Linked DNA regions of Drosophila melanogaster. The protein of the gene in region 2 interacts with the protein of the main gene of each other region in a pairwise test. Each region holds a gene or a part of one and is shown on either strand. Other genes may lie near its edges.

The links.
Region 1: the proteins of CG14089 (region 2) and CG9083 interact in a two-hybrid assay, tested with the Drosophila melanogaster proteins (one large-scale study listed by BioGRID).
Region 3: the proteins of CG14089 (region 2) and Enoph interact in a two-hybrid assay, tested with the Drosophila melanogaster proteins (one large-scale study listed by BioGRID).
Region 4: the proteins of CG14089 (region 2) and PolE2 interact in a two-hybrid assay, tested with the Drosophila melanogaster proteins (one large-scale study listed by BioGRID).

The regions. Positions count from the first base shown.
Region 1 is NT_033778.4:24,895,468-24,901,148, reverse strand, and holds CG9083 (uncharacterized protein), read right to left. Parts: upstream 2,877-5,681; 5' UTR 2,808-2,876; coding exon 2,790-2,807; exon of another isoform or gene 2,722-2,789; coding exon 1,786-2,721; 3' UTR 1,644-1,785; downstream 1-1,643. Other genes in the region: Tpc2 (thiamine pyrophosphate carrier protein 2), read left to right, coding at 645-1,616; NaCP60E (Na channel protein 60E), read right to left, coding at 94-305.
Region 2 is NT_037436.4:19,278,992-19,283,930, forward strand, and holds CG14089 (uncharacterized protein), read right to left. Parts: upstream 1,810-4,939; coding exon 1,135-1,809; 3' UTR 1,129-1,134; downstream 1-1,128. Other genes in the region: CG14086 (uncharacterized protein), read left to right, coding at 49-123, 394-642, 707-833; Gbs-76A (glycogen binding subunit 76A), read right to left, coding at 4,232-4,939.
Region 3 is NT_033777.3:5,253,987-5,259,816, forward strand, and holds Enoph (Enolase-phosphatase), read right to left. Parts: upstream 2,696-5,830; 5' UTR 2,618-2,695; coding exon 2,262-2,617; intron 1,953-2,261; coding exon 1,696-1,952; intron 1,634-1,695; coding exon 1,476-1,633; 3' UTR 1,458-1,475; downstream 1-1,457. Other genes in the region: CG1113 (uncharacterized protein), read left to right, coding at 1-933, 988-1,417; Hph (HIF prolyl hydroxylase), read left to right, coding at 3,579-4,135; Tim17a2, read right to left, coding at 4,485-5,159. UniProt on the Drosophila melanogaster protein: Bifunctional enzyme that catalyzes the enolization of 2,3-diketo-5-methylthiopentyl-1-phosphate (DK-MTP-1-P) into the intermediate 2-hydroxy-3-keto-5-methylthiopentenyl-1-phosphate (HK-MTPenyl-1-P), which is then dephosphorylated to form the acireductone 1,2-dihydroxy-3-keto-5-methylthiopentene (DHK-MTPene).
Region 4 is NT_037436.4:5,894,548-5,900,597, forward strand, and holds PolE2 (DNA polymerase epsilon subunit 2), read right to left. Parts: upstream 2,889-6,050; 5' UTR 2,833-2,888; coding exon 2,127-2,832; intron 2,070-2,126; coding exon 1,198-2,069; 3' UTR 1,144-1,197; downstream 1-1,143. Other genes in the region: CG5592 (uncharacterized protein), read left to right, coding at 3,101-3,743, 3,812-4,004, 4,062-4,848; CG32409 (uncharacterized protein), read left to right, coding at 5,052-5,200, 5,258-5,510, 5,568-6,050. UniProt on the Drosophila melanogaster protein: Accessory component of the DNA polymerase epsilon complex. Participates in DNA repair and in chromosomal DNA replication. Has a role in the entrance and progression through S phase. Has a role in endoreplication. Essential for viability and tissue development.

The DNA.
Region 1 (5,681 bases), on a different chromosome or scaffold from region 2:
CGCCTGCCTGTGACTTTTTAATTAGAGCCAATGGGCGGCCAAGTGAGGCGAGGCCGCGGATAATGAGGGAATGTTGAACGCGGCAGTACTCACCTCCTCGTAAATGAAGGTGTCAATCTCCTCCAGCGGCTTTCCGTACATGTGCTCCGGAAAGGGCTCGAATTTGCGGGGCAGCACGTCGCCGTCCTCCACGGAGGCCTTAGTGCGCGGGTGGAAGCCGTACTCCCGCACCAGCTGGATGTGCCGGTTCTCGTGCTTAACCTGCGACCTCTGCGTGTACGCGACAACCTGGTGCTTGGCGACAGCTGAAAGAGATCGAAGGGATTAATAATGCGACAACCAACACAAGCATAGAAATGTATGTACATTCACATGCAGACCCCAACTAAAGTACGTAGACACCTTAAAAATTTTAAGCTTTTACATTCTTGTCAGAGAAATTATTGTGTATTTTAAAATTTCGACTAAATATTAAATTGGAAAATACTGTGTAATTGGCCAGAGCTTAATAAAAGCCTAGCCACTTTCTTATACAGTAGCAGGAAATTTAGCTTGCGGAATGACAACACACCACTTCGTCCTCATCTGTACAGTGAATAACTCCTGCCGTGAGTGAATCCGTCCACTGCTCGTCGCCACATCCGATGCCCGAAAACTCGGTGGTAGTCCAGTTAATGCAGGCCGTCGGCGGCGGAATCGCCGGAGCTGCGACGCGGACCATAACCCAGCCGCTGGACGTTCTGAAGATCCGATTCCAGATGCAAGTGGAGCCGGTGACAAACCATAAGGGGTCCAAATACCGTGGAGTCATCCACGCTTTCAAGTCGGTGTACGCCGAGGAGGGAATGCGCGGTATGTTCCGTGGTCACAACTCCGGCCAGGTTCTGAGCATTTCGTACGCTCTGGTACAGTTCTGGTCCTACGAACAGCTTCGCTCCATGGCCCACCAGTTTGACTACTGGAGGGAGCGACCCTTTCTCATGTTTTTCATCTGCGGCGGCATAGCCGGATGTCTGGGAGCCGTGGCCGCCCAGCCGTTCGACGTGGTAAGAACACAGATGGTGGCCGCAGACCCCTCCTCGCGCCGCAGTCAGATGAACACTTTTACCGGACTTCGAAAGGTCTATAAGATGGAGGGGTGGATGGGACTTTCCCGAGGACTACCCTTCACGCTTGTGCAGGTGTTTCCGCTGGTAGGGGCAAACTTTCTCTTCTACAAGTACCTCAACGCGGCTGTCTTGATGGCCAAGCCTCCCGACCAGCGCCAGGAAATCCACGGCGCATTTCTGTTTCTCAATGGGGCGCTGTCAGGGGTGTTGGCCAAGATGATCGTGTACCCGGCGGACCTGCTTAAAAAGCGCATCCAGCTGATGGCCTTCAAACAGGAACGTAAGACCTTTGGTCGCAACCCCGAGTGCCCTACGATCCTGGGCTGCATCACCACCACGTTTCGGGAGGAAGGAATCGGAGGCTTCTATAAGGGAATGTTGCCTACTCTACTCAAGGCAGGACTGATGAGTGCCGTGTACTTCTCCATCTATGACATGTTTAAGCGCCACTATATAGCTCCGATGAAAGAGGCGGAGAAAAATCGGCAAAAACTGGGCAAGCATTAGGTAAATCACATACTGGGCGGCTGGCTTAAATTATTACACTAACATGGTTTATTTTGTACACCAGTATCTTGGGAGAATGTGTGGAATATGGATGAGCGAACATGTCAAATATAAGTTAAACGTGAACAGTAGACTAGACGACCAGATGGCCAACGACGGACATTGCCGTCTACTTCCAGTTTGAACTGGATCCTGCCCAGCCGCCTGAGGCCGGCGCTGAGTAGCTGTATCCGTCGCCACCGCCGCCGGAAGACCCGCCGTAGGAGCCACCGCTGCCTGAAGCAGCGGCTGCAGCCACCACTTGTGTATCATAGCTGGATCCGCCGCCACTGCTATAGCCACCGCCATGTCCACTGCTGTATCCTCCAGAGCTGTAGGACGAGCCGCTGCTGTAGGAGGAGGCTCCGCTGTAAGAGGATCCACCAGAATATCCACCATCGTAGCCCCCGGAGGAGCCACCACTGTATCCACCGGAGGATCCGCCGCCGTATCCGCCGGAAGAGCCATGTGAATCTCCAGCCGCAGCAGCAGCCACAATCACCTGGGTGTCATGACCTCCTCCGCTGTGACCGCCACCGCTGTAGCCGCCGTATCCTCCGCTGCCACCATGATCAGAGGAGTCTGAGCTGGCGGCGATGGCTGCAATGTTGGCGATGGCATGGCCACCATAACCTCCGCCGTGTCCGCCGCTGCCTCCATGTCCGCCATGTCCGTGATCGGAGGACGAGCCAGCAGCAGCAGCGATGGCAGCAATCTTGGCATCATCATGACCGGAACTATATCCGCCGGAGCTGTATCCGTGGCCACCTCCACCGCCTCCGCCACCCCCGGAACTGTATCCGTGGTTCTCGGTGATAACAGCATAGGTGTTCACATGACCACCGCCTCCTCCACCGCCGCTGTATCCGCCATCGTGGGAGTGAATCTCATAGCCTCCACCTCCATGGCCGCCAAAATCACCGCCTCCGTGGCCGCCAAAATCACCGCCTCCGTGGCCGCCGTGATCCCCACCGCTCTCTGGCAGGTGAATACGGATGTGGACATGCTCTCGTCCGAAGGTGGGCTTTCCCCATACCGCTGGGCTAGCCAGCAGAAGCGCACTGATCTGGGAGTGGGAGGAGGGAATCTGTGTTAGGATCCACCTGAACTGACGTGGTGTCGTGCCAAACTCACTATGAAACGGGCTGCCATTTCTCTGGATTCGTTACGAAGGACTCTCGAATGATTGCTCGCCTCTGGACCGACTGGAAATGATTCGGCAAACATGGGCACACGCCGTTTTATAGCCCTCTTCTCCACTCGGGAGCCATGCGGTTATATAAGCGATCGCTTGCCGCTGAGCAAGTGCAGAGATAATCTCTTTCGCCGACGACGAGCTGAATGAAGTGGAGCCAGACCACTGGAGACTTCACGACCGCGACCCATTGAAGGCCAACTGGCCGCGTCTTCGTCTTCGTCTTCTTCTCGGCCATCCAGTCTTCACTCTCCCTTTCTGAAGATCGCGAGAGTGTTGACCTTTCACATCATCATCCCCAGCATGTGCCCAATTGCAATACCACACGGATAACGTAAAAAAGGGTCTGTGACTCAAAATTATTTTAAATCCCATGGTGTGATGCCAACTTAAGTGTATCAATCATCTTTGGTTTTCCATTTTCAATATTTTACATGATAAACAAAACCGGTTTCGTAGACCAATTTAAGATCGCTAAAAGATATCTTAAATTCCTTTTGCTATATTTACGTAAGAAAATCATATTTTACGAAAGCAGCTTGGATACTGCATAAAAATGTTTTTCTAAATCTAAGACTTTTATTTTGTAATTGTAATACACGGATTCTCCCAGTGCACTAACACACTCTCTCGAGGAGCATTCGCTTCTGTGCTCTACTTTCTTTCGAGAGAAAATCTGAGTGGCCCTAAGCTTCGTGGGCTGGCGGCCGAAAATAGCTAAAACCGAAACTCAAACTGTGGTAATATGCAACTTGACCAGTTCCAGTTTTGGCCCAGAGCTCGTTGCTATTGCTACTTTATCACATCGCCGATGCTGGTTGTTAACCGTTAGGTATTTTGTTGACGTTCATGTTTATGGATTTTTATGTAGATACGACGAACTTCCTATTGGCAATTCCTTATTGTTGGTCCAGACTTGCATAACGATTGGCCAAGGGTTGGCCGGGTTGGCTGCTGCCCGCTGGCTGCTCACTGTCGCTAGTCATTAACCCATTGATGGCCGTACCAGTGCCGGAAATTATCAATATAATTTTGTTTACCAACGCGAAGCAGTGGTGCCGCGGCTGTGAGGCAGGGAAGGAGCCAGTTACTGTTCTTTGGATTGGGCCAGGTCAGGTCGCCGTTTGGCGAGAGGCTCTCGAGCGCTATTGGGTTAAGCCTCGCCTGCAGCAACATCAAAAATATCTTGTCATGCCCCCGCGCTGCAACATGGGCAAAAGGCAACGCGCCGTGGGTTTTGTTCGCGCTTACATCAGCAAGATGTCCGACTGGCAGCGGAGAGAGGTCATGGCCACTGGCCACCCAACACCTCCAACTCACCCACCCACCAATCTGGACGCCCCAACAACCCCCGCCGCCATGCTTTCGCCGTTGATTAGCCACTGTTTTCATTAGCAGTGAGTGACTTGGGCCGAGCCAGCGAATCGGGGCCATCCGGCCATTTCGATTACGTCGCTGATTATCATTTCTCATCTGGCAGCTACGGAGCTAGGCAGCTGACTGCTCGCTCGGCAGATTCCATCACTGCCGAATAATTAATATACATTTAAACTGTTTCGGATTGTAAACAAAGCGGGCTTACATAAGGAACTAGCTGGGAGCAGCAAGCGGGACACCGACGCAATAATCTGTTGCCAATAAAGCCACATCGCCGGTCATAATCACGATGCTGTGCCGAATGAAGTTCGAACTGGAAGCCGCTGAGCTGGAGCAAATGGGCTGCACTCCAGTGCCATCAGAGCATCTTTCAATGGGGATTACATCTTCAGCTAGAGAGGGCCACGCTCACGATGATGAAGCTGCTTCTGCTGCCCCGGCGATGACGGCAATGACGATGGGCAACCGGTTGGCGGTCGCACATTAACATCAGATGCAACGAAGACGCACATCTTCCCCATATTGCATAATCGACCCGGGCTCGCGACTCGAAACTCCAGACCTGCCGTCGCATCTTCACGCGGAAGCAAAGTCATTCTCAAAGCGCCCAAAAACAAAAAGGAAATTGCACACCGATACAGAAACTAAAAGCAACTAGCGACGTGCAATGTCGTGGTTTTCCCAAAAAACCAGTTGCATCCACACACAGAGAGAAAAAGGTGTGCTACAAGTGATTCACGAGATTGTGGGCAACAGTTTTAGAATTGTGGGGAAAGTCTTGAAAAAGTCAATTCGATTTTCTGCTATATTATGGTGCTCTCTTGATACTCCTTATGTACTGCATGCTTTGCTTCGGATTTCCTGGTTTAACTTTCAAAGTTTGTTGTTTAAAGTGCAGCCATTGTTGCAGTTGCAACTGGCATTGCTGCCTCTGTTGCAGTTGCAGCTGCGCAGACCTTTGAGCAAGTTCAATGGTGACGGGAATGGGAATGGAAATTGAAATGGGATTGGGATTTGGACTCGGAGCGGAGGCTTAGGGGGTAGGGCAATTACGCCCCTCGCAGTTGGGGCGCTTGCTCTCGACTGCTTCCTGGCCCTGGCCAAAAACCAAATCCAATTCGAGACTGGCAAGGCGGAAAGGAAGGTGGTCGGTCCAAGCCCCAGCCCAAGCCGAGCCGAAGGAGAAACCGAAACACTGGCTGCAGTGATGCGGGACAAACAAAAGTGAAAAAGTGAATCGGTAGGATAAAGCGAGATGCAGCAACAATTGCTCTACATATTTAATTAGTTTCCGTTTCCGTTCATATTCGTAATCCGCAGATGGCAGCGCCTGCTGGCCTTTGTGCATTGTTCACCTCCCCAGTGAATATACTCCGCTGACAATGGCGCCCTGCGCCCACTTATCAACCCAAGGCCCACCCACTCACTCCTGCTGTAAGGACAAATGGCGCTCT
Region 2 (4,939 bases):
AAGTCACGGATCTAAATATCCCCCATAACTATACTAATTTCTGGTTAGTTTTTCAGCCGTGCTGGTAATGTTTATCGAGATCAAGTGGCTTGTGACTATCTTCCTGCAACTTCAGTGCGCAGAGTAAGAAAACTATTCAAGATTACCAAATAACATGTTCATAAATTATAGTTATTCGTATATATATTATTTGATAATTAGCAGTTATTATTTATGAAATATAGAAATTCTAGTTACCAAGCCTAGTAGTTGTAAAACTAATTAAACCCTAATTATACTATAATATGATATACTTTACTATTATATACAATACTCTATATCAAGTGCCTTTGCTCAGATTTTTCTCTGCAAATTTTTCTCTGTTCACATATTTGTGAATTCAATTTGTTTCAGGGATAATTACCAGCGAAGGTCCTGCAGCTGCTTGGCCTGCTGGCGACTTTCAGCGATTTGTGGCGGTTGGCGACCCACTCCTGTTTATGCGGTCATCGGCATCTGCCTGATCCTGTATCCCCACAATCTGTGGCTGAGTTATGTGGCCGGGATGTTCCTGATACTCCTCGGACTCCTCAGACTGTGCACGCTGCTCCGATTCAGCGCCTCGAAGGAGGAGGGTCTCCTGCCGCAGTGCGACTTTGAAAAGTGATGCCAGCCAACGAATGTCTTTGTTATTTGTTTCTAATGTCTGTTTGTTCTGCGATGATAGGGTGTCGAGCTTTGTGGATACCATGGAGGATGATTTCGCGGAGATTGGTGCCACGCAAGCGGGATTGGATGAGGAAGCGGAGGAGGAGGGCGACGACCACACCGCCCTAGACGACGATGTTTGCTAATAGTTTAAGCCAGCTTTTCTGCCTAATGTAATGTGAGATTTTAAACGACTTAACAAATGTCTAATAATATACAGTTTGTAAAGAGGTTTCGATTTAAACGCTGAGTGCGTGGTATATTTTTATAGGTAATCGATAAACCCACACTTTGTATGATTTTTGGTGTCATTTATAAACGAAGCCACTCAAAAGTCAAAAAGGACATTCTTCAAAAGAATTTTGAAAGTTCCTTTTAAGTATTGGGTATCTGCTTTTTACCTACAGAAATAATTATCAAAGCTATTTCGTTTTAAATAATGTTATTTTAATTTCGTCTTTTATTGTTTTTTGTGCTAAACGGATTTCTGCGTTCACTAAAGGCCAAAATGAAGGGCTGGTCGTCGAATTCTTCGGTTTTTCTCAGACCAAAAGAACGCTCATTGCCGTAATCATACTCGTCCTCATCATAGTAGTTATAGTAGTGCCTCTGGTGGCCTTTAGGGCCTCCATGTCCATGTGATGGAGGAGGAGGAGGTGGAGGATACGGATACGGTGGATATGAACCTCCGGGATATCCAGGAGGACCCTGAGGACCAGGTTGGCCAGGGATTCCAGGCATCCCGGGGTGGCCCTTATCTCCACGCGGCCCCTTCTCGCCGGGATCACCCTTGGATCCTTTGGGGCCGGGATAGCCCTTCTGCCCCGGCTGTCCCGGTGGACCAGGTGGACCTGGAGGACCGGGCGGACAACCGCATGGCTGTGGCTGAGGATACGGATACGAATAGCTTGGCGGATAGTGTGGCGGATGATAATGTTGATGATCGTGATCCTCCTCTATGATCACTTCCTGTGGCGGGGCTGGAGCGGGACTTCCAGTTTGGAGGGTGATCAGCCGGGGCACTGAGGCATCATCCTTGGCGAAAACTCCCCCAAGAACAGACAGTAGTGCCACCAGCAGAATAGTCCAGTTCGCAGAGAGAACTTCCAGATTCGACGACATGCTGTGAACTAACGAAAATCAGATCGCAGTCACTTCTTTTATGTGGATAAATGCGTTTGAAAAATGGCAACAGAGGAGAATCATTCAAACTCCCGTTAAGATAGCTCATTTGAGATCTATATGTCTTGTCTTACGATCGCATTATATTTGTATCGTATGCTAATTTCTCTTGTTTAATAAACCAAGCCATTTATTTATAAAGTATCTGATTTGCATAATATTCAATGAATGAGTTGAGTTTTTGGGCTGATGAAAGAACTTTCACACCAAATGGATGTCGGACTTTGTGATCGAGCCATGAAAAGTGAATTCTCGTATTCTAGGATAGATCAATTAACAGGTATATGTATATCATTTCTGCGCGTAAAAATAACATAAACTTTTACACAAATTTCATATGGAACCAGAGCAATGACTGGTGGTGACCGAGATGATGATTTTTACATTTAAACGGAAACATTAACCATTTTGAATAACTAATGTGTAATTTGCTAACACCTGAGATACCACCTGTCCGTCCCTGTGAAGCACAAAAGAAAACACTTTCGAGACATGCTAAGAATGTCTGTTCGCAATTTTATTTAACTGTGGCTTCTTTATTATTCTTTTGTAAGTGTAAAGTGGAACTCATGATGACAAGAGCCCCGCCCACATAAACCTCAACAAATTTCTGGTTTTTGGGCAGATCTCATAACACTTTTTGCATACTCACGCTTCAGTCTAAGTCATTTGGATTTGTGGACATTAGTTATGTTCGAGAAGTTTCTGTTTTTGTTAACATATGTATGTAAATAGTTGTAACTTTTAAAGTTCGTTTTATTTGTTGTTTTGCTTTTGTTTTACACATGTTTGCTATGCAATAAACATATTAAATAGTTTCTTTAATTATAAATTTACTTTGTTTAACTATTATTCTCTCTTATTCGTGTTTTCGGTCGGAAAACGTTGAGGTAGCTGCGTTTGCAATTAATTGTTATAAGTAGCTATTCGCTTGTTTATATCCCTGATATAGGCTATTTAAGGTTCTGTTGTGGATAAGAAGAGCTCAAATTGTATTCATTATTATTCAGACAATACATAGATAATTGAAAGAATCAACCGAAAAGGAATAACTAAAGTTTATGTTTATTTTATTTTGTATATATATTTATATAATATTACGATAGATATATTACGCATCAACATATACATAGAAAATATTCAAATCGTTTAAATTAAAATTAAAGCATATAAAAAATCAAACATTAGAAGAATATCAACAATTAAGAGAAACAAAAGTTAAGGCTTGTCTGCTGTGTCTGATGGCTAAAAGGGGTTTTTCCGATCGGGCTACAAATATCATCGGATTGGAGAATATCCTTTTTGACTGCGAATAGTCAAAAGGTAGCAAAAGTAAACTCGAGTTGACTAGATAGTGGATGGTGGTTAGTTATAGTTAACTTTTGACATGGTCTCTGTGCTCGAACGGATCTGCTTTTACCGAACAAAAAGTATTAAAATGGTGCTAAGCTCATATTCAGAACTGTGATTAATGGCAATTAATCTTTTCACAAAACTGATTCATTTAAATCATCATGATACATTATCTGGCAGATACACAATCTTAATAGCCCGATCCAACTGGCAATCGCTTTCGCATGACAAACAAACCTAGGAACAAACCAAATAAAAATTGGGAAAAGTAACTAAAAACAGAAGAAGACATTGAAGAAACTGATCTGAGTTTTAGTTTGTTATCACTTGCTCTTCTTATAACATACGACTAACAACTATCTTTGGGATTCATTCGAACCTTGCTGGCTTTTGTTCTAGTTCGCACTACTCTGGTTTGATTCTTTAGTTTTTTTGTGGCGCTCTTACAGCTCCTCTTGCCCTTCACTAACCCTTCAATCTTTTCCATTCATTCTATAAAAATATATAAACAATGTTTGCCGTCCTTGGAAGGCTAGGGTGGTTCGATTTATCGACGTGCAGGGACTGAAATATTCTTGTGGGAGTTATGTAATTTCTTGACATTTCGTACAATAGTTCTTGTTGTTAATAACAGCTCTTAAGTTCCAAAATATCAAAACTTAATCTGCCTTTGACTGAAAATTTCATTCCAAATTAGTTCCAGTTGTGTTGATACGTTACGTTAAGAATTGCCAAAAAAATACTTAGTTCCTTGTGGATTTTCTAACAAAAAATCCAATCACCCCAATGAAGAGTTAGCCCCACGAAGGTTGGTATTCTGATCTGTGATCTCTGACTGGGCGGTCATATGGGACTGCTTGGATTTGATTTCTTACTGGGACATAGACACCACGTCAAGGCCCGGAAACTTTCCCAGATCTTGGTGTCGTGTCGTTGGATTGGGCATGGGAGAGGGTGTTGGATTCTAGACGGGATGCTAGTGCCTTTAGTGCGGGCCCATCGCCACCGGTTAGTAGAAGGAGCTGCACCAGGCATCGCCCGCCGTGGGGCTTAGCAATCCGACCAGACTGGCACTATGGCCGGTGGATACGGCGCCAGTCGCCACAGACGGAGGCGATGCCGTGGAGCCGCCGGCGGTATGTGTCGAGCTGGGCAAACACTGGAAGCAGTAGTTGGCCCCGTAGTTGTTGTCCCAGAACTGTTGGCCTTTGCACTGGAACCTTACGGCGAACTCCAGCCTCTGGCCCACGTGCAGCGAGTTACCGAACAGCACGAAGGTGAAGATGTCGGAGAAGCCATCGCAAGAGTTCTCCACGTAGTTTGCCTGCAGGTCGGCGTAGCTTCTCCATCCGTCCAGCGAGTACCTTATGTGCACCGACTTGTGAAAGTCCAGATTGCGCACACGCACAGATCCGGATATCGTCTGGTTGATGTTGTCCGTCACGGCAGCGTTCTCCAGGGACACCTGCTTCTCCCGGACCGCATCGAGGAACTTGGGCAGGCCTCCTGGCTGCTGGAACAGAGGCATCAATAGCTTGTCGGACTTGGGCCCCAGCTGAAGTGGCGGCTCCGACTCCAGTATTTCCAGGTCCTCGAACGCCGATTTCGGTATGGTGGGTATCTCGTCCAGGAAGGTCTTTACATCGGCCAGATCCAAGCCAAGGACGTCGGCAAACCTAACGATCTTCTTGCGACCCGGAGTTCCGGGTGGTGTCTT
Region 3 (5,830 bases), on a different chromosome or scaffold from region 2:
GCGAAGTGCCAGTGTCAGCAGCTGTTCTGTGGGTCATGGAAAGTCTAAAAAGCGGCCTTCCAAGGGGAAAAAGATAAAGAAACGTCCTTTGGTGCTGGATCCTGTTCCTCCGCCAGCAATCTTAGTGATCCCCGGCCAACAGGATAGATGCGCTACCCGCCCAGTTGTCCATACTCCCAATTCCAGTTGTCTAAGCGACGAGTACGACCAGTGCCTCAGGGACTTGAGTCGTCTGAAAAGTTTTAAGGAGGACTTTGCAGTGGAGGTTGCGGATTTCAAGAGGTCCCTTAAGAGCTTCGAAGCGGAGTTCCGCAGGCCAAAGTCCACGAGCAGCAACGGAACTCAAACACAAACCAACAAGCAAAGTCAGACGCAGAACCGCTGCCAGAAGACTGCCAATCCTGGCCAGCACACGGCAGAACGGGCCAAGTGCCGAAGGGAAATGCTGCGCAGGTGCTTTAGTGTCAATGATCTTCAAGGGATTGCCTTAGAGGCTCATTCGAAGCCTTCCAAACTAGCTCAGCCTGCGCGAAGCAACTATTTCCCACTCAGCAAGCAGGAGGAAATTCCCAAGATACAGATTCAATCACCCACCACCTCGTCGAAGCGAAGTAGTAGTGCTTCCAGCGCAGCAAGAGGTCGAGGAAGACGCGGAAGAGTAAGGAAACCAAAGCCAGGGTCTAGCGTAAAGGATGAGAAGCCACTACCACCGCTGAGCATCTATGAGTTGCCGGAGGAACCGGTCCAGAGGAGAACGCCCAGTGTGTCCCCGTTGCATCCGGTATCTCGTCCTAATCTAGCGGCAACTTTGAGGGCTGAAGTATCTAGGAAGAAGGTTAAGGAGCTGAAGAACAACTGCACTTATCATGATCCTCGTCCGCAATTCGATTGGGAGGTGAGGAAAACGCCGGCTTGGAAATCACTGTCCTTGAAGTGAGTAGTTCACCAAATATTAAGTTTCGCACACATTCAGTGTTCTTTCTTTAGCGAATCCCACAAGGCACTGCTATCCATTCGGTTGGCCACTCGCAAGGCAGAGCAGGCTTTTCAGGAGCGTCAGTACGAACTGCATATGGAGATGATGCGTCAACGGGTCAAATCCGCTCCCCTTCTTCTGGAAGGACCCACGTTCTGGGGTCCAGAAGTGGGCAAGCTCACCCACACCTGCCGGACCGAGGAACTGCGTCATTCGTGCGAGGGGAGCCGGCAACGTAGGAAGAAAAAGTCAGAGTTTCCTGTTCCCGATGCGGATACTAAGCTGCAGCAACTGCGTAAGGTCTATGGCTCAGAAAAGTCCTGTTCGAGGCAGTCTCAACGAAGCAAGCGGTCCGAACGACGGCCGCAGGGGCTCACGACCGAGACGCCCAGCCACGACAGCGGTGACGACCTGTGCAGCGCAGATCGAGCTTTCCTCTAGAGATTCACCTAATTCCCAAGCACATAGTCACAATATATGTATACTTTTTTGGAATGACCTAAGCCTGGGATTTATTGACCGGAACTTTCAGGTTGTGAAGTGGTTTAAAGTCCGGAATCAACTCGAATCCAGTTTTTTGATCGTCTGCTAGGGCGGCGTTTCCAGGACGCTTCAGAATTATGGCTTGCAAGCCCGCACAGCGAGCGGCGGCCGCTTCTAAAATATAATTTCACATTAAAAATGTTACGGATGAGGATTCGTGTGGATCAGCCACTCACCTCCTGGAATATCCGTGAGAAAGAGTATCTGCTTCGGGTCCTCCTTCAATTGCTTGGCAATGTTTTTATAGGACTGCTGTTCCTGTTTGTGGCCCACATGGGTGTCGAAATAAGCACTCAAGTACGGCTGCAGGTTCCCGGCCAAACTATGACCGAATATCAGCTTTTGGGCAGCCACACTGCCGCTGGAGTAGACTGCAATCTGGAGGCCAGCAGCACGCCAAGCCTCAAAAGCTGCAGGGACGTCTTCGTATACACTATAATAACATTTATAGATAATTAATTAATTATCAATAATAATGAGTTGTTGCGTTGTACTTTTGGTTACTATGTTGAATGTTATCTGATAACTATTGAAATCAGCAAAAGTTAAACATTCCCGTGCGGAGAATATAGCTAGCATACATATTTAAAAAATCACCAAGCTGTATAATTGGATCTCAGAAAGACACCCAAATTATTTTTGGGAACAGACGTTAAGTAAGCCTTTTCTTTGATAACCTTCTAGAGTTCAGATTGTAAAACTTATATGGCCATGATAGGAGAATATTGAATGGGGAACTTACTGGCCCTTCAGCTCTCCATTAGCGTAGCCCTGCGCCCAAATCAAGCCCTGCAGCGTTTTCATTGGCGTGACCTTCAGATCCTGATCAATTAAATAGCGCACAAAGCCTGCAATCAGATCTACATCCACTTCCGTAGGTGGACCACTTAACAGGGCCTTGTAGTCCGCATACTGGGGCACTTGCTGTAGATCCTGGACAATACGCTTTATATCATCTTCTTCCCACGAATCCCTCAGGAACTTTTCCACATTCTGCTTGGCGTAGGGAAACAGGACATCGTGCACAAAGCTAATCGAAGTGGTGGTGCCCTCGATGTCCACCAGCACCACTTTGGCCACTCGTTCACTGGACGACATTGCGCTTATTAGTGGGATTAAGTTATCACGAGGAACCAGTTGATTTTCCGCCCAGCATCTGTTTAGTTTTGATAATGGAGATGGCACATCGCGCTATCGACTATCGACTTTAAAATATATATATATAAATGTATTGGAATAGACGATAAGGGTATTTGCCATTCTTAGAGACCTTGCTTAATTGATAAACGATCGACTGAAGTTGTATTAAAGTAATTCTTATGGGGTTAATGGCCGCTTTGAGTTAATTTTCCCAATAGCTTTTTGTTTCCGAATCTTGTGCAATTAAATATTAAAGCTAGTAAATAAAAATAGCGAAATAAAAAGCTTTGATTACCGTTAGTATATAAGTGCCAGTATAAAATAATCACCACTAACGTTGGCTCGTTCAGCTATCGATACCTACTGCCCGCCGGTAATAGTGCTGTACAACGAGTACATGTCAATCGCTGCACGCTAAGTATCGGTCGACGCCCATCGCTATCAAAAAGAAATTTTAGTGCTGAGTTAAGAATTTTTCCCTTTTTTTGCACAGTTTACGCGGTTTTTATAAACAAGGGGCGTAATAGAGCTCAAGGCAGGGTATAAAACAGTCAATAGGGTTAAAAGTTGCAACCCTAAAACGTCTTACAAAAGAGAATACTCGCAGGAAAAACCAACAACAATGCACATATAGCTGCCCGTGCGTCTGTGTGTGTGCGTTGTATGTGCGTTTTTTTTTGTTTATTTGGCAAATTCGGTGGCCTACGTGATTAAAATAAGCACAAACAGTCTTAAGTGAAATGTTGGCTAAAACGCCCGAGTGCCGTAATTCGCATTGATAACAAATAGCCATAATCTGCGAGCGTGTGTGTGTGTGATTGCCTCAGTTGGCGTAGGTGAGGTGGGGTAAAAAAAGCTGGGAGAGCTGTCAAGGTTAAAATCGGTCGTCGCCTTTGGCTCTCCTCTCCCGCAAAATGCAATGAGCAGGGGTCGCGGAAAGGTCAGGGATTCAGCAAGCCATTCCGGCTCCCACTCCGCATCCAAATCGGCCATGGACCCGCCGCGCTGCTCCATCTGCGGCACTCAGCAGCAACTACTGCGCTGCGCCAAGTGCAAGGCCGTCTACTACTGCTCCCCCGCCCACCAGCATCTCCATTGGCCCGACCACCGCACCGAGTGCCGCCTCCTGACCCGCCAAAAGCTCAACAGCAGCAACAACAATAAGCAGCAGCAGCGGCAGCAGATCCAGCAACTGCAACAAGCTGTGGCATCTGCCAATCTGGAATGCAGCGGCGCCGGCGCCAACTGCTCCACCGCCCAGATGATGACGCCTGCCCACCAGGCGCAGAGTTGGCCCGCCGAGGTAGACAACCTGCTGAATCTCCTCGGGCAGCCGGGCAGCCAGGAGAAGGCTGCAGCTGCGGAAACGGAAACAGGTCAAAGGCAGCAGCAGCACCAGCATCATCACCATAATGGCGAAAAGAGCTCCAGCTATCAAATCGGTCTGGCGGATGCCAGCTTCATGGGATCAGGAAGGTAGGTCGTCAGTGGACAGGTCAGATGTTTCAGTTTCAACAGTTTTATGCTAAAACATAAGTTAAAAATGTATAATACTATAATACTGCTCATGGTGGCACGCTAGAAGAGATATATTTTTCTTAGAAGCTCTTTTGAGCCTGCATAGTGCCATAGTATTTTATTAGATGCAATCAAATATCAGCTGATCTTTTATTGAAGATGGAAAAATATTCTCCATGAGATAGAAAATCATTCCTTGTACCTACTGGGCTTTTAAAAATAATATAAGATTAACGCTGAATATCGAATTAACACTTAATTTGGAAGAAGCATGGGAGGTTGACTTAAAACCTTAAAAGCTTTTCTATCAGACAATTTCGGCCAGCTTTACCAGATCGACCAACGAGTGCATTGGCTTCATCAGTTGCCCCAGTTCCTTACCCTCCACTGCGTCCGAACGCATAGGCTGCTGCATCTTGTTGTGTGCCCTGTATGCCCGACATTCATCCAACACCCGCTCTAACTCCGCCCCAGTTAGGTTCGAATCAGCAACGGATGTCTCCCACTGGGGTCTCTGCATTTGCTGGTCAACAGTGATTAGGGACTCCTCTGCTTTGACTCCTCCATCCGATGCATAAATCGTAGCCACTGCTGCTCCAGCTCCTTCGAGCATGGCTAAAACGAGGCAGCCCACAAAGGCACTGTTGGCCATGGCTCGAATTCCATTCCGGGCGGCTAAAATTCCGCCAGTGGCCGCTCCGCTGACAATCGCGTTCCAGGAATCCTCCCTCTGGCGGTACGAGACCATGACGCAGTCCACCGTGCTGAAGGTGGCGCCCCAAATGGCAAAGCTGCCGGCTATGGCCGGTGTCCGCAACCTCACCGATTCTATACCGCCGTGCAAGCCACGTCGAAGACCGGACGGAGCGTTTCGGAATCCCTTGAGGTACTGAAACAACGATCCTCCCATGGTGCCCATCATAAAGGCGCACCCGCAATCCTCTACAATCCTGATGGGACACGGCTGGCGATTGTACTCCATGTTCGGGTGATGTACTGACCAAAAGAATCCGTAATTAATTCAAAACTTGATTTGTAGTGAACTTTCCTTGTTTTGCGAATATGTGCTATCAGCTTTTGACCAATATGGCCTTTGATTAAAAACGTGTGTTTATAGATTATACATAACTTTGAGAATGTTGCCTTACGACTTTTACGTCCGTTCTAACTAGATACAAATATTTACCAATGGTCCTACAAACGAAATATACAGTTTGTCAAGAAACTGTTTACACACTGTGAAATAAGTTGAATTTTTGACTTTAAAGCTAAAAATTAAAGGTTTTTTGCTTAATTAAACGCATTTTTTTTATAAAATATAATTAAACAATATTTATTTTACTTATAAATCAAAAAACAAATTAAAAATATTAAATATACAAGAAAAAAAACAACAAATTCCAAGTTTAAACACTTTTGAGACTGTCAAGAAACTCTTTACACAAAACACTAAATCGATGTTTAATCCTAAATTTTTAAATTATTTTATTAAAATTTTAAAAGTTTTGGTATGTAGTATGTTCCCCATTGGCTTTAGCTACAAGTTGAAGCCCTTTTTTCATGGATTGGACAAGTTTTTGCAGGTCATATTCAAACGGGATCTTTTCACACTCTTCGACTATTACAGTCATAAGCTGTTGTTGTGTTTTAGGT
Region 4 (6,050 bases), about 13 Mb from region 2:
TGGTCGAGTGATTGATGGCCAAGACACAGATTCACGGATTCCGCATCAGCGATTGCTTTAATCGAGTCCCAAAGTCTGGTGGGCGGGGATCAAGCTGAGCTCCAAATTAAATGGTGTCAACTTTGCGGGGAGAATGCCATAAAAACCGATGACCATAACAGATAAAATGTTTTCTTTTTTATGTTATTGCGGCCAAGTTGCAGAGCAACCGCAAAACAATATTTAAATTTCAAAAGTTGCCAATGTTACCAGTTAAATGAAGCAGAAGCAAGATTGCTGTCGCACAGCAAGCATTTTGAATCTGCCTTTCTGCATTGAGGAGCTGGAGAGAAACCATGTATACAGAGGAATATAAATGTTCAACACTCGAAGGGATAAAATGAAAATATAGTTAGCACCCAAGGCTGACCACGCCCACCAAATCGAATTGACACTCATGGTGGACACATTTTGGAAATTGATCCCAGGGACGTGCGGCATACAACTAGCCAAGTTGCACTCATAAATCATAAATCAATAGGAGAGCAAAACGCTTCGAGCCGTTCGGCAGGAGGAAAAAAAAACCTCCCCACTTCCACATCCTACCCGGCTAATGATGTCTTAAAAAAACGATTCGGCAACTGGTCATGTGACAGCAAATGGGGGCCATCGATGTCCTCAGGTCAAACGCATTATCAAAATTGCCGTTTCAGCTGCCGAGGAGTTGCGCGCCAGCCTGGGAAATTGAATTTCCACGACCCTAAGTGGCCGGCATCGGGCAGAGTAACAATATTTTTCCAAATCGGCTTTAAGTCATGAAAAGTAATAGACAACCCCCGGTCGCCGTAAAAAGCAGATTGCGAGGCGCGTCAGCCGCACAGCCAGGAGACGATTGTGGAACACATGCTGTGCGCATATGATGACTGACGACGGTGATGATGAGACTGGGCCGCTTATCACGAGGGAACAGCCACACGCACTGGGTGCCGAAAAATGTTTCGAGCTGGCGGGCCAAGCAACATGTGAGGTCGCAGTGAGCTAAGCTCCCGAAAGAAGTTTATATCCAAATTGTTAAATTGATGGTATTCTTTCTAAATATAGGCTTGCAGTTGTTTAAAACAAAAAAAAAATTGCCCAAATAGCCCGAAATCCAAAGAGTAATCGACATATGTAATTAAATAATTATTCAAACTTACGTTAAGGTTAACTATATCATAACTACTCCAATTCGTCCGGTATCTCCGAGTCCTCAATCGTTCGCGTCGCTGGTATATACACTTTGAATGCGAACTTGGACTTGACAAAGGAGCCGGTATTGAGAACAGTGCAGCCATGTTGACTGCTGCTAAAGCTCTGACACGAATCGCCCATGACAATCAGATCCGGCAGTGGATACAACCACAGAGCAGGATCGTAGTCCCAGTGCACTGGCATGGCAATCGGATGAATGGGCACCAAATGACCCTGGCACACAATCGTTCTGGCAAAATGCTGCTCGATCTGGGACGTGTCTTCAGGAAAATGCAAGGTGTTGCGACAAAACTTGGCCATCAAATCCAGACGGCAGACCACAATCTGCTGGGTGCAGTACTGCAGGCGACACGGATTCGTAGCCAACTGGGTGCGTGGCCAGGCCTTTAGCAGCCCGGCTGCCAGGCATTCGGGAATTGGAGCACGGGGCAGAATATTAGGTGCCGTGGGATCTTCGGACGAGGGAACGAGTATCAGATCCGTTTGCTTCTTCAGCTGCTCGCAGCCAGCTGCCAAGCCACCCAATGCATCCAGGTGATGCCTCAGTTCATGATGATTCCTTGTGCTGGCCGTGAAGGGACCCATGAGCACTATAGCCTGCGGCGGACAGGAATCATAGCCCACGAACAACTGGCGCAGCTTCTCCATGACAACCGGCAGATCCAACCGAACGTCGGAAAGGAAAACAATGGTTGTTTCCGTGTTGGTACGCTCCAGTTCCTGTAGTCCGGCTGAGTACTTCAGCAGCTTAGCAGATTCACCGCCCCAAGTGTTGGCGGTGCCGAAAAATGCTCGACTGCTGTTTGCCGGTTCCGCAGGTGGAAAGCCCAGGCCATCAACTGGGGAAACATAAGAAACTCTTGAGATGTAGTTATTAAATACTTTGGGCTACTTACCCTTGAGCACACCGTTGTTATAGTTGCCCTCGGCTAAAACAAAGCAGCCCTCGCAGAAGAAGCCGGCATGGAAACGGGCTCCAGTGAGATCTAACTGGACGCAACCCGTGGGATCCTCGACATAGAACTTGCCCTCTTTAAGCTGGGTAAGTAGCCCCAAAACAACTGCCTCCTTCATCGCCGACGTGGCCAGCAGGTTCTCCGCGAACTGGAGCTTAAATTTCTTGGCCTGGGCCTCGGCCCCAACGCCATCCTGTATGACGGCTGGGGCAAAGAGATCGTGTCGCAGAGTTTTCTGTAGTAACATGGCATATCGTTGCTGCATGTAGTCCGATTTCATGCGCGGGGCGGTCAGCAACTGGCGCGGCTGAGTGTCCAGTTCGAATTTCTTTATCCGCTGGTTGTACCGAAAACGGGGCACCGTAAAGGCATCGATCAGGGCAAAGACCGTCTCCCCTTCATCCAATCCCACCCGGTTAAGTTCATTGATGGCCTTCTCCAGGGCGGCTCGCTCCACATGAGGCGTCAAAAGCTTTTGGCTTTGGAGATTCTCGGTGATCACCGTCAGCCATTTGTCCCGTTCCGCTGCGTCAAAGGGTAGCAGCTGCTCCGCCAGGTAGGAACTGTTCTCCGAGCGGATCAGGAATCCACATAGCTTGAAGGTGTTTGTTATTCGCTTTCTCAGCGGCAGTAAATCCACATCCATTGTTATTAAAAGTTTTTTCGCGCGCAAATTAGATATGGATGTTGTCAATTATCGATATCTATGTGCATTTGTGTGACCAGCCGAACATGAAGCTAAAATAGAAGGCCTAGAAAGTAATCGAAAATTGGCGGAAAAAAGTGGAGTTCAAAAAGTTGATATTTGAATGGTTTATTCAAAATAACATATATTTAACTATTTAAGGTTCAAAAAGAGGGCTTTAAAGAAGTTGGCTTTTGTTTAGTACATATTTATAATATTAAATGTCGAAATGCCCCCCAGAGATTGTGAAAAGTATGAGAACTTCTTGCTGTTCATTGGGGACTTTGGCCCCTTTCAGAAGCGACTGCTGTTTTGGATGATGCCCGCCGCCTTTCTGTTCGCATTCACCTACTTTGGTCAGATATTTATGATACTGTTGCCAAAGAATCACTGGTGCAGAGTACGAGAACTAGAGGGACTGCCGGAAAGTGAACAAAAGAATCGGGGAATCCCCAAAAAGCAAGATGGCAGTTTCGAGAATTGTTTTATGTACAATGTGCCCTACGACTCAAATGCGACCAACGATGCGAATCAGACAAGGAGCCCGATACCTTGCAACAATGGTTGGATCTATGATCGCAAGGAGGTGCCCTACGAGTCCATCGCTACCGAGTACAATTGGGTGTGCGACAAAAGGGATTTCGGGACATATAGCGTCGTTGTCTACTTTGTGGGCTGTATTGTTGGTTGCCTCTGCTTTGGATTCATAACCGATCATTCCGGTCGCTTGCCTGCACTATTTCTGGCCAACTCCTGTTCCATGATCGGCGGTTGCGTAAGTGTGGTCTGCAAGGACTTTCCCTGCTTTGCTGCCAGCCGATTTGTGGCTGGACTGTCAATGAACTACTGCTTCGTTCCCATTTATATTCTAAGTGAGTGTTGCAGAGTCAATTAACATAAATCATAAATTTAAATATCATCATCACATTCTTTTCAACAGCTTTGGAGAACGTTGGCATCAAGTATCGCACACTGGTGGGGAACTTAGCCCTCACATTCTTCTTCACCTTGGGCGCCTGCTTGCTTCCCTGGCTGGCCTATGTCATCAGTAATTGGAGGCACTATGCCATGGTCGTTGCCCTGCCAATTGTATTCATGATATTGACCAGCTTGCTGGCTCCAGAGTCACCAAGGTAAATTAATGATAACAATAGGTTTTCAAGCTATCTAAACTTCATTTCCCACTGCAGTTGGCTTATGTCGGTGGGTAAAGTGGACCGGTGTATTGAAGTCATGAAAGAAGCGGCCAAAGCCAATGGAAAAATCATTTCCGAAGAGGTTTGGTCCGAGATGCGGGAATGCTATGAACTTAAATTTGCCAACGAGCAATTGGGAAAGCAGTACACCAGTCTGGATCTCTTTAAGACATTTCCCAGGCTCGTCGTCTTAACGATTTTGATTGTCACATGGATGACTGTGGCCCTAGCATACGATGCCCATGTTCGCGTAGTCGAAATCCTGGACACAGATATATTTATAACCTTTTCCCTTTCCTCGCTCGTTGAAATTCCTGCTGGAATCGTACCAATGCTTTTGCTAGATCGAATTGGTCGCAAGCCCATGATGTCGGCTGTCATGCTATTGTGTGCAGCATCCAGTCTCTTCGTTGGTATTCTAAAAGGACATTGGAATGCATCAACGGCAGCGATTGCAGCCAGATTTTTCGCCACAATGGCCTACAATGTGGGTCAACAGTGGGCCTCTGAGATACTGCCAACCGTGCTGCGCGGTCAGGGACTGGCTATTATCAATATTATGGGTCAGATGGGTGCCCTACTCTCACCACTTGTACTCAGCACCCACCGCTACTATCGTCCCTTGCCCATGTTTATTATCACATTGGTGTCCGTGATAGGCGCTTTAATAATCTTGTTTCTGCCGGAGACCAAGGGAGCTACGATGCCACAAACGTTGGACGAGGCGGAAAAGCGCTGGACGTTACGTTGTAGAGATCGTAAAATAAACGAGGATCTTTAAAAAATTAATTTAAAAACTTATTTTGAAATGGCGCCGATAGACTGATAAGTATATAGCCAAGTTTCCCTGCAAGGTTTGAGTCTTCGGTGCGAGTTTGGTACATTTATTTAGTATTTTTTAGCCTATTCGTTAAATCTAGTGCATGGTCACAGTTGTCAGCACGTGGAATTGAATTTTGCTGTTTATACGCTAATTCCCTGAAAATGGATGTTGTTAAAGAAGTTCTGGCCAAACACCAAAAGGAATTGGACAAATACAAGCCGATCACAGTAGAAAAGCATTTGGAATGCCGACTCGACGTTGGCAGCCTGCTGATCACAGATCCCAACGATTTCGATGACCGGGAATTGAGGTAAGCGGCGGTTTCTAGCGAGGAATACTGATTTTTCACCAGTTCCATTGTTTTTAGGGACAACAAAGAGGAGTACCTGACCGCACTGACACGGGAGAACACCCAACTTTTGGTCAATGCCATTTGGGAGTTGCCCACCGAACGGGTAGACGAGAGCATTGTGGCCAAGCTGCCGGAACCCACGACGGTACTGCCCCGCCTCCGTAAGCCGCCAGGTCCACGTCCGCTCACCAAATGGGAGAAGTTCGCCAAGGAGAAGGGTATCAGCAAGAAGAAGAAGGACAAGAAGACCTACGATGAGACCATGGATGCAAGTTTTTGCTCTTTAATCTTGTCAAGTCACAATCTAAACCTTGAATCTTTATAGAAATGGGTGCCTACATATGGTTTTAAGCGTGCCGAGGCCGAGAAGGCCAAGGATTGGGTGCTGGAGGTGCCACAGAACGCCGATCCCAATACGGACATGTTCCAGAAGAAGATCGACCTGCGCAACGAGAAGGTGGCCAAGAATGAGATCCAGCGGATGAAGAACATTGTGCGCGCCAAGAAGATCGACATGCCACGCAGCGGTTACTTGGGACCCGAGGCTGCCTCATCCAGCCAGTTGTTAACGGCCGTCACTGTGGCCAAATCCTCCACAGCCTCAGTCGGCAAATTCCAAAACAAACTGCCCAAGGAGAAGGAGGCACGTGGTCTGGGCATTAAAGAGCTGATTCCCGGCGGCAAACGCAAGCAGTCGCATATCACACAAACGCCGGAGAAGGAGGCCAACCTGGATCTCATCAAGAGCGTGCTGAACAAGAAGCCCAAACTGGACGTGAGCAAGGCGGTATCGATGGAGAAGCGCGAC